Linked DNA regions of Callithrix jacchus. The protein of the gene in region 2 purifies or fractionates together with the protein of the main gene of each other region. This does not show direct contact. Links are inferred from orthologs where the notes say so. Each region holds a gene or a part of one and is shown on either strand. Other genes may lie near its edges.

Region 1 (4,585 bases), about 120 Mb from region 2:
CCGGGAGGCAGAGGTTGCAGCAAGCAGAGACTGCACCACTGCACTCCAGCCCAGGCAACAGAGTGAGACCCTGTCTCAAAAAATAGTAATAATAATAATATGGTCAGCCAGGCACAGTGGCTCATCCCTATCATCCTAGCACTTTGGCCTGTCATCCTAGGCCAAAGTGGACAGATCACCTGAGGTCAGGAGTTCAAGACCAGCCTGGACAACATGGTGAAACCTCATCTCTACTAAAAATACAAAAAATTAGCTGGGTGGTAGCACGCGCCCGTAACACCACCTACACAGGAGGCTAAGGCAGGAGAATCGCTTGAACTCAGGAGATGGAGGTGGCAGTGAGCCGAGATCACACTATCACACTCCAGCCTGGGCAACAGACTGAGACCCCATCTCAAAAAAAAAAACAAACAAACAAACAAAAAAAAAAAAACTTGATTCAGCGTTTTTAGCTTAAAGGAAATCCAAATAATGTTAAATGTTCTTAAGAAAAGGTGGGCCAGGTGCCATGGCTCACTCCTGTAATCCCAGCACTTTGGGAGGATAAGGCAGGCAGATCACTTGAGTCAGGAATTCAAAATCACCCTGGCCAACATGGTGAAACCTCATCTCTACTAAAAATACAAAAACTAGCCAGTCGTGGTGGCAGGCACCTGTAATCCCAGCTACTCGGGAGGCTAAGAATCGCTTGAGCGGGTGAAGTGGAGGTTGCAGTGAGCCAAGATGGCACAACTGCACTCCAACCTGTGTAACACTGAGAGACCCTGTCTCGAAAATTTTTTTTTAAATGAAACAATTCACTGATGTCACTATCAATCAATTGACTGAACACTTTTCCCAAATAAAAAAGTAAAGCCCAGCCAGGCACAATGGCTCATGCCTGTAATCCCAGCACTTTGGGAGGCTGAGGCAGGAGGATCACAAGGTCAGGAGGTCAAAACCAGCCTGGCCAATATGGCGAAACCCCATCTCTACTAAAATTACAAAAACCGGCCAAGCATGGTGGCACGTGCCTGTAATCCCAGCTGCTAGGGGGGCCGAGGCAGGAGGACCACTTTAACCTGGGAGGCAGAGGGTGCAGTGAGCAGAGATCACACTGCTGCACTCTAGCCTGGACAACGGAGTGAGACTCCGAGTCAAAAAAAAAAAAAAAGCTTGAACAGCATACGTACTCTAACTGAAAGTTACAATTTTTAGTTATCATATAAACATAAAATTATGAGGCGTTAATAATCCTTCACACTTGCAAGACAAATCCGACAGATGGGCCTCTCACAAAAATCAGTTGTCTAATTATCCTCTTGCATCTGAATTGCAAGAAGGATAACTGAAACAATTGCAAATGTCTTAACAGTATAATTATCTAAATACACTGAGAATCCATGAATTGACGTAGAGGCATAAAACCAAAACCTAATGACAAATTCGAAGAATATCAACCAAGTTAACCTTGATGCCCTAACTTTCCTTCGACTTTACTCGAACATGTACCAGTTGCATTCTGAGTTTGACGAAACTGTTAGTAATTCTTCCTTGCTAACACTAACCTATACAAGCGACGCCTGAGACGCGCGATTTTGCTCGGGTTACACTGAGATTTTTGTTTCTATGGGAGAAAAAAACGGCATAAAACAAGTCTTGTCCTTCTCGAGGGCCTGTAACCAACACGGACAGTCATGAAAAGCAACGCCTGGAGTCACAGGAGCCAGTTCTGCTACATCCCATACCCAACGCGTTAAGCAAGAAAGTTTTTTTTTTTTTTCAATGACCACACCACGTTTAAAAAAATAAAATAAAATAAAGAAAGATAAAAGAACAGTCCCCATCACAGATGGCTCCTGCCAGGGAGCATCTTAAAAACTTTATCCTCGGAAAGGGAGAAAGCATTAATTTTAGGAATCCTAACAGTGGCAGAAGTGTAAGTCGAAAAAACCTGCTCAAAAATCAGTTTGGGGGCCGGGCGCGGTGTCAACCCAGCGCTTTTGGAGGCTGACAGGCAGGAGGTTCGCCTGATCCCAGCCAGGAATTCGAAACCAGCCTGGGAAATACAGTGAGACCCCATTTCTACAAAAAGTTTTAAAAATTAGCCAGGCGTAGGCGCCTGTAATCCCAGCATTTTGAGAGGCTGGGATGGGAGAATCGCTTGAACCCAGGAGGAGTTCAAGACCAGCTTGGGCAACACAGCGAGACTCCGTCTCTGCAAAAAAAAAAAAAAAATTTTTAAAGAAAACTTTGGGGCACTAAAGCGGCCAGTTCAATCGGGCACGCATCAAATATGATCGACTCAACCGCCGGGTTCCCAACACAGCTCTCGAGGTCCAGGGATCGAGAGGTTCAAGCAAAAAAACAAGAGAGGGTCCCTTTTTGGAAAAACGGTAAAAATCTCCAAGAGCGCTTCCTCTACGAGGGCTCCCGGGGAGGGCGGCGGGCGGCGGGCGGCGTCCGGGAAGAAAGCCGGAGGGTGGAGTTCACTTTTTCCACCGGCCGGCGAGTGGCGAAGCCCTCCCCCAGCGAGAGCCGGAACCAGGCACGCGCCGCCCGGGCAGCCGGCGCCCGCGGCCCCCGCCCCGTGCCCCACAGGCCCAGGCCCACCGCCTACGCGAGCCCGCCAGGGATCCCGGCCTGCCTGGGCCCCAATCCCGGCCCGCCCCCCGCCCGCGCCCACCCCGGCCCGCGCCCGCCCCCGCGGCCCCCAGCCCAGACCCGGCAACGCACTTACCCGTCTCCCACCACCACACACTTGATGGCCTGCATCTGGGCCGCTCGCTGGGCCGCGGCGGCAGCGGCACGGCGCTGAAACGGGAAGCGGCGGGCTCGGGGCGCGGCGGACGGGCGCGCGGCTTGAGGACGGCAGGGCGCTGGATGCCGGGGCCGCTGTCCACGCCGCCTCGCCCTCCGCGGACTGGAAGCCGAAGCCCGGCAGCGGCCACCACCCAAAGCTGGGGAAAACTGCAGAGAAACAGGAAATGGCCGCTCCACTCACATCCGGCCTCCCCTCCCCCGCGCCGGCGCCGCCGCTCCCAGGTTCCGGGTGGGGCAGCTCCCGCCCGCGCGGTTCCCGGAGTTCCTCTGGGCTTCAGGAACGCTCGGAAGTGCTCGGGCCCGCTTGTCTCCGCCCACGGGGCGCGGCGGCTGCCATCTTTGCGCGCTAACGCGGCATAGGCGTGGCGGGATCTGCGGGTCCTTTCTCTGGGGTTCAGTGCGCGGTGGCTCAAGCCTGTAATCACAGCACTTTGGGAGGCCGAGACGGGTGGATCACGAGGTCAAGAGATCGAGACCATCCTGGTCAACAAGGTGAAACCCCGTCTCTACTACAAATACAAAAAAATTAGCTGGGCATGGTGGCGTGTGCCTGTAATCCCAGTTACTCATGAGGCTGGGGCAGAATTGCCTGAACCCAGGAGGCGGAGGTTGCGGTGAGCCGAGATCGCGCCATTTGCACTCCAGCCTGGGTAACAAGAGCGAAACTCCGTCTTAAAAAAAGGAAAGAAAAACCTGTAGTAGCTGGGCGCGGTTGCTCATGCCTGTAAACCTGACACTTTGGAAGGCCGAAGTGGATTACAAGGTCAGCATTTCGAGACCAGCGTCCGGGAAGAAACGAACGCTGGTGAAAACCCGTCCCTACTAAAAAAAATACAAAAATTAGGCCGGGCGCGGTGGCTCATGCCTGTAATCCCAGCACTTTGTGAGGCCCGAGATAGGCATGGGAGGCCTAGGCGGGCGGGAGGCCCGAAAATACGGATGGGAGGGCGAGGCGGGCTGGTGGCCCGAGATAGGGAGTTCGAGACCAGCCTGACCAACATGGAGAAACCCCGTCTCTACTAAAAATACAAAATTAGCCGGGCGTGATGGCACATGCGTGTAATCCCAGCTACTTGGGAGGCTGAGGCATGGGTATCGCTTGAACCCAGGAGGCGGAAGTTGTGGTGAGCTGAGACCGCCCCATTGCACGCTAAACAGGAGCGAAACTTCGTCTCAAAAAAAAAATTAGCCGGGCGTGGTGGCAGGTGCCTGTAATCCCAGCTACTCAGGAGGCTGAGGCAGAGAATGGCTTGAACCTGGGAGGCGGAGGTTGCAGTGAGCTGAAATCGTGCTACTGAACTCCAGCCTGGGCTACAGATTGAGATTCCATCTTAAAAAAAAAAAAAAAAAAGAGGAACCTGTGGTTGCAGGAGCCAAGCTCCCTGTTGCTAACACCTGCTTGAGGCCATCAGAAGGCATTGATTCCTCCTGTTTCATTCTTTATCTGATAACTATCTGCGATTACATTAGATCCTTCTAGAAAATTCGGATTCTAAAACTATAAGGAAGTCTAAAATCATACACCATACCTTTATTTGGCAATAACAATGTCCATTCAGCCAAAAAAAAACAAAAACAAAAAACAAAAACTGTTGCTGGCAGGGCCCGGTGGCTCACGCCTGAAATCCCAACAATTTGGGAAGCCCCGGGCAGATCACTTGAAGTCTGGAGTTCGAGATCAGCCTGGCCAACATGGCAAATCCCCGTCTCTACTAAAAATACAAAAAATTAGCTGGGCATGGTGGCGGCTAATTTTAGTCCCAGCTACTCGGGAGGCTGAGGC
Region 2 (3,809 bases):
TGTGCACCATCTCTAGGTCTAGGTTTAGAAACACACAAAGAAAATAAACAAAGGAGAGAATTATGAAAGTTGTGGCATTTGGGATCACCTGTCTCTGAAATTTGAAAATACCATTTAGTATCAAGATGACCAAGAGTCTAAGAATGTGATTTGCATGGATATGTTAAAGGGAGGTAACATTTTGGATTGACAACTGACTGTACAGTTTGCCTAACGAAGTTTAATGGTATAAATAAATACACATGTAAAAGTATCGTAAAACATAACTGAAGACCAGCACCTTCCTGACTTTGTTACCTGGCTTCTCCGGTCTGTGTTTCTAGTTGGTTCACCCAAGCCTTGTATACCTCTACAGGGTTTGTGTTGATAGTCAGCGACTTGTCGTCGATGATCTCTTTCACCACTGGAGCCAGGAGTTGGCGCAGGGTGTTCTGTCCTCGGGCACCTCTGTTGAAGCTGACAACCATCTTGATGACTGTAGGGTTACCAGTAACTATGTCCTGGACCTGGTCCACTTTTGATCTAAAAAAGCCCAAGACAAAAGAAAATGGATTGCTTCTATGGAGAGTTTTTTTTTTTTTTTTTTGACAGAGTACTGCTCTGTCACCCAGGCTGAAGTGCAGTGGTGTGGTCTTGGCTCACTGCAGCCTTTGCTTCCCGGATTCAAGTGATTCTCTTGCCTTGGCCTCCCGAGTAGCTGGGACTACTGGTGTATGCCACCACATGTCCAGGGCTAATTTTTGTATTTTTAGTAGAGACGAAGTTTCACCATGTTGGCCAGACTGGTCTCGAACTCTTAACCTCAGGTGATCCACCCACCTCAACCTCCCAAAGTGCTGGGATTACAGTCCTGAGCCATGGTGCTGGGACTGAATACAGTTTTAAACAATGTATCCTCTCTCTGGCAGGCAAGGAATTCACGGAATTACACTTTTTTCTATGAAAATCAAAGTTAGCGTGCTTTAAAAACAAGCAATCATTTATAAGGTGTATATTTCTTTTTTTTTTTCTCTCTTTGAAACAGAGTCTCACTGTTGCCCAGGCTGGAGTGCAGTGGCTCACTGTAACCTCTGCCTCCAGGGTTCAAGCAATTCTCCTGTCTCAGCCTCTTGAGTGGCTGGGATCACAGGCACATGTAACCATGCCCAACTAATTTTTGTATTTTCCAAGAGATGGGCTTCAGCATGTTGGCCAGGCTGGTCCCAACTCCTGACCTCAAATGATCCACCCATCTTGGCCTCCCAAAGTGCTGGGATAAGAGGCATGAGCCACCACTCCCAGTCTCCAAGGTGTATGTTTCTTAGATGAATAATTTGAGGATCTAAAAATAAAGTCACAGCCTCAATTTCAACCTATAAGGCAGGTATAAGCTGAAAATAGACCGGGACTAACAATACTAGGTAACACTGTACAAGTATCACTCCTCTGTTGTTATCAAATTTCAAAAACAACTTTCTTGACTGAATAAACTGTTTCACTTCTTCAAATCCTACTTAAAGCTGCGATACAGCTTCTAGCCATATCAAATGGCTGAGAGAGCGCTTCTTGATTTACGGTGCTGACTCTCAGGGCCTCTCCCCTCTCTTCCTCCCCTTTCTCCCTTCCCCCTTTTGACCACCCTCTCCCTCTTCCACCTCCTTCCCCTTTAGAGCCTGACAGTGCCTGGTCCTTATCTTATCCAGTCATTCTTTTTTATTTCCTTTTCTGGCTCCTCTTCCCACTTTTAAATGCTGTTTTTGTTTACTTTTTGACTAATTGTAGGTGCTTGTAAGGAGAATGAGGGTAAATCAATGTCCAAACAAAAGAATAACTGGTCTACCAGAGCCCAACCAAACCTCATGCACAGGCACAGCTTGACCCGTCATCTCTCTGGGACCTACCCCTCTGAGGTCAGGAGTTTGAGACCAGTCTGGCCAACATGGTGAAACCCATCTCTACTAAAAATACAAAAATTAGCCAGGCGTGGTGGTGAGTGCCTGTAGTCCCAGCTACTCGGGAGGCTGAGGCAGGAATATCACTTGAACTCAGGAGGCAGAGGTTGTAATGAGCTGAGATCATGCCACTGTATTCCAGCCTGACCGACAGAGCGAGAGTTCATCTCCAAGAAAAAAAAAAAGATTTCACAGATCCCCAAAAATCAAATAGAGCCTTAACAGCTGGGCCTTTACTCAGTGTCTCCCATGACCTGGCCATACCCTGTCTTTCATGGTTCATCTCCCCGTAGTTAGTAATCGAGTCACATTTTGGGTAGACTAATCTACTTTCCTTCTTGCACCTACGCCCATGTTGTTTTCACTACCATTGTGCCTTATTTCCCTTTTCTATCTCTTTTTATAAAAATTGTAGCTATTCCTCAAAGTTTTGTGTCAAGCACCTCCTCTTCTATAAAATCTTTACTAGTGAACCAAGTTGGAACTTCTCCAATCCTCTAACCCGATACATTGTACATGTCCTCCATTTAGACACATCCTTCATTTAGCACTTACCACATTCCACTGTACAGCATTCCTATTTCTCCCAAATCACATTTCTCAAGGGCTTGTAGACACCTCGAGGGCAGAGGTGCCTGGCTCCCATGCTCCCAAAACCAATAGGAGCTAGCATAACTTAAGGTTTCTACAAGTCAGAAAGGCCACCTGAGCTAAGGACATTTCTCATGCATGTTTCTCAGCCCACTCATTATAGCTACCTAGACAACTTTTACATTAACTGAGTCAGAAAATAAATTAGCAAAGGTAGCTTAAGTTCTAGTACGAAGGGAAGACGATTTACGCAGAGATCGTGCTCTGCATTCCCACCCGTTAAATGGCTTTCCTACTCAGAATTTTAATTAAGTTAAATGTTCTCACTGGTTTTCAAGAAGCTATTGCTTTTCAGTCGTTACAAACATACAAAATCAAGAGTTAATTTAACACTAGAGAAAGTATCACTGGTGGGAGAAAATGGTACCTGAATATAGGTCTAATGATATAGAAATATTCTCAAGAAACTTGATATATTTTAATATGTGAGAATAACTTATAATAATTTAAAAATAATTTTAGTAAATCAAAGACAGCCTCCACTAACAAAAGCATCTATTCATTGGTATTTTTACATATGTATTTATATACCTACTTTATTTCTTCCTCCAGAGCAGTTTTAAAAAGCTTGAGAAGTAGATATTCTTCTCGCTGATTAGAGGCATAATTATATAGTGTGAAAATAACAGTATCCATAAATTTAGTGGACTTGTTCTGTGGCATCTGGAAAATCAGCTTAGCCAAGTATAAAGGGTTGGTCTAGAAAGAAAGAAGGAAGAAAACAAAAAATCCCACGAAACAATAGGTTAATATATTATTAAAGCACACAGCAGTATCTGATTCCCTGCTCTTCAATGACTTAATATGTCATGAAAAGCATATAGATAGGTATATAAAATAATTTTTATGTGCCAAGTACTCATCTCTATGCTTTCAGTATATAGTATAACTTTCTACTATTGCTTCCTATAGACTGATATATAATTTTCTACTTTAGCTTCTTATGGCATATTAATATTTTAAAATATTACTATCAAATATTACTTAATATTAATATACTATAGGAAGCTAGAGTAGAAAATTATGATAGGATTTAAAAGATGCACATGATATGATATACTTTACGTATCATATCTACTTTTTACTATTGTATTTTTGAGCCACACATTAATATTTATTATATTTAGGGGTGGGGGCCAATAGAATCTGGTGTCCAAAGACACAGGCAAAGCTTGGGCACGGTAGCTTACACCTATAATTCCAGCACTTTGGGAGACTGAGGTAGAA

What was found.
Region 1: the proteins of IQGAP2 (region 2) and RAC1 purify together in Homo sapiens (affinity purification with mass spectrometry; 5 studies listed by BioGRID and IntAct, with this or other methods). This does not show direct contact. The link is inferred for Callithrix jacchus from reciprocal best matches to the Homo sapiens genes IQGAP2 and RAC1.

The regions. Positions count from the first base shown.
Region 1 is NC_133503.1:16,112,970-16,117,554, reverse strand, and holds the start of RAC1 (ras-related C3 botulinum toxin substrate 1), read right to left. Parts: upstream 2,962-4,585; 5' UTR 2,755-2,961; coding exon 2,720-2,754; intron 1-2,719. UniProt on the Homo sapiens protein: Plasma membrane-associated small GTPase which cycles between active GTP-bound and inactive GDP-bound states.
Region 2 is NC_133503.1:134,365,032-134,368,840, forward strand, and holds part of IQGAP2 (ras GTPase-activating-like protein IQGAP2), read right to left. Parts: intron 3,282-3,809; coding exon 3,118-3,281; intron 523-3,117; coding exon 298-522; intron 1-297. UniProt on the Homo sapiens protein: Binds to activated CDC42 and RAC1 but does not seem to stimulate their GTPase activity. Associates with calmodulin.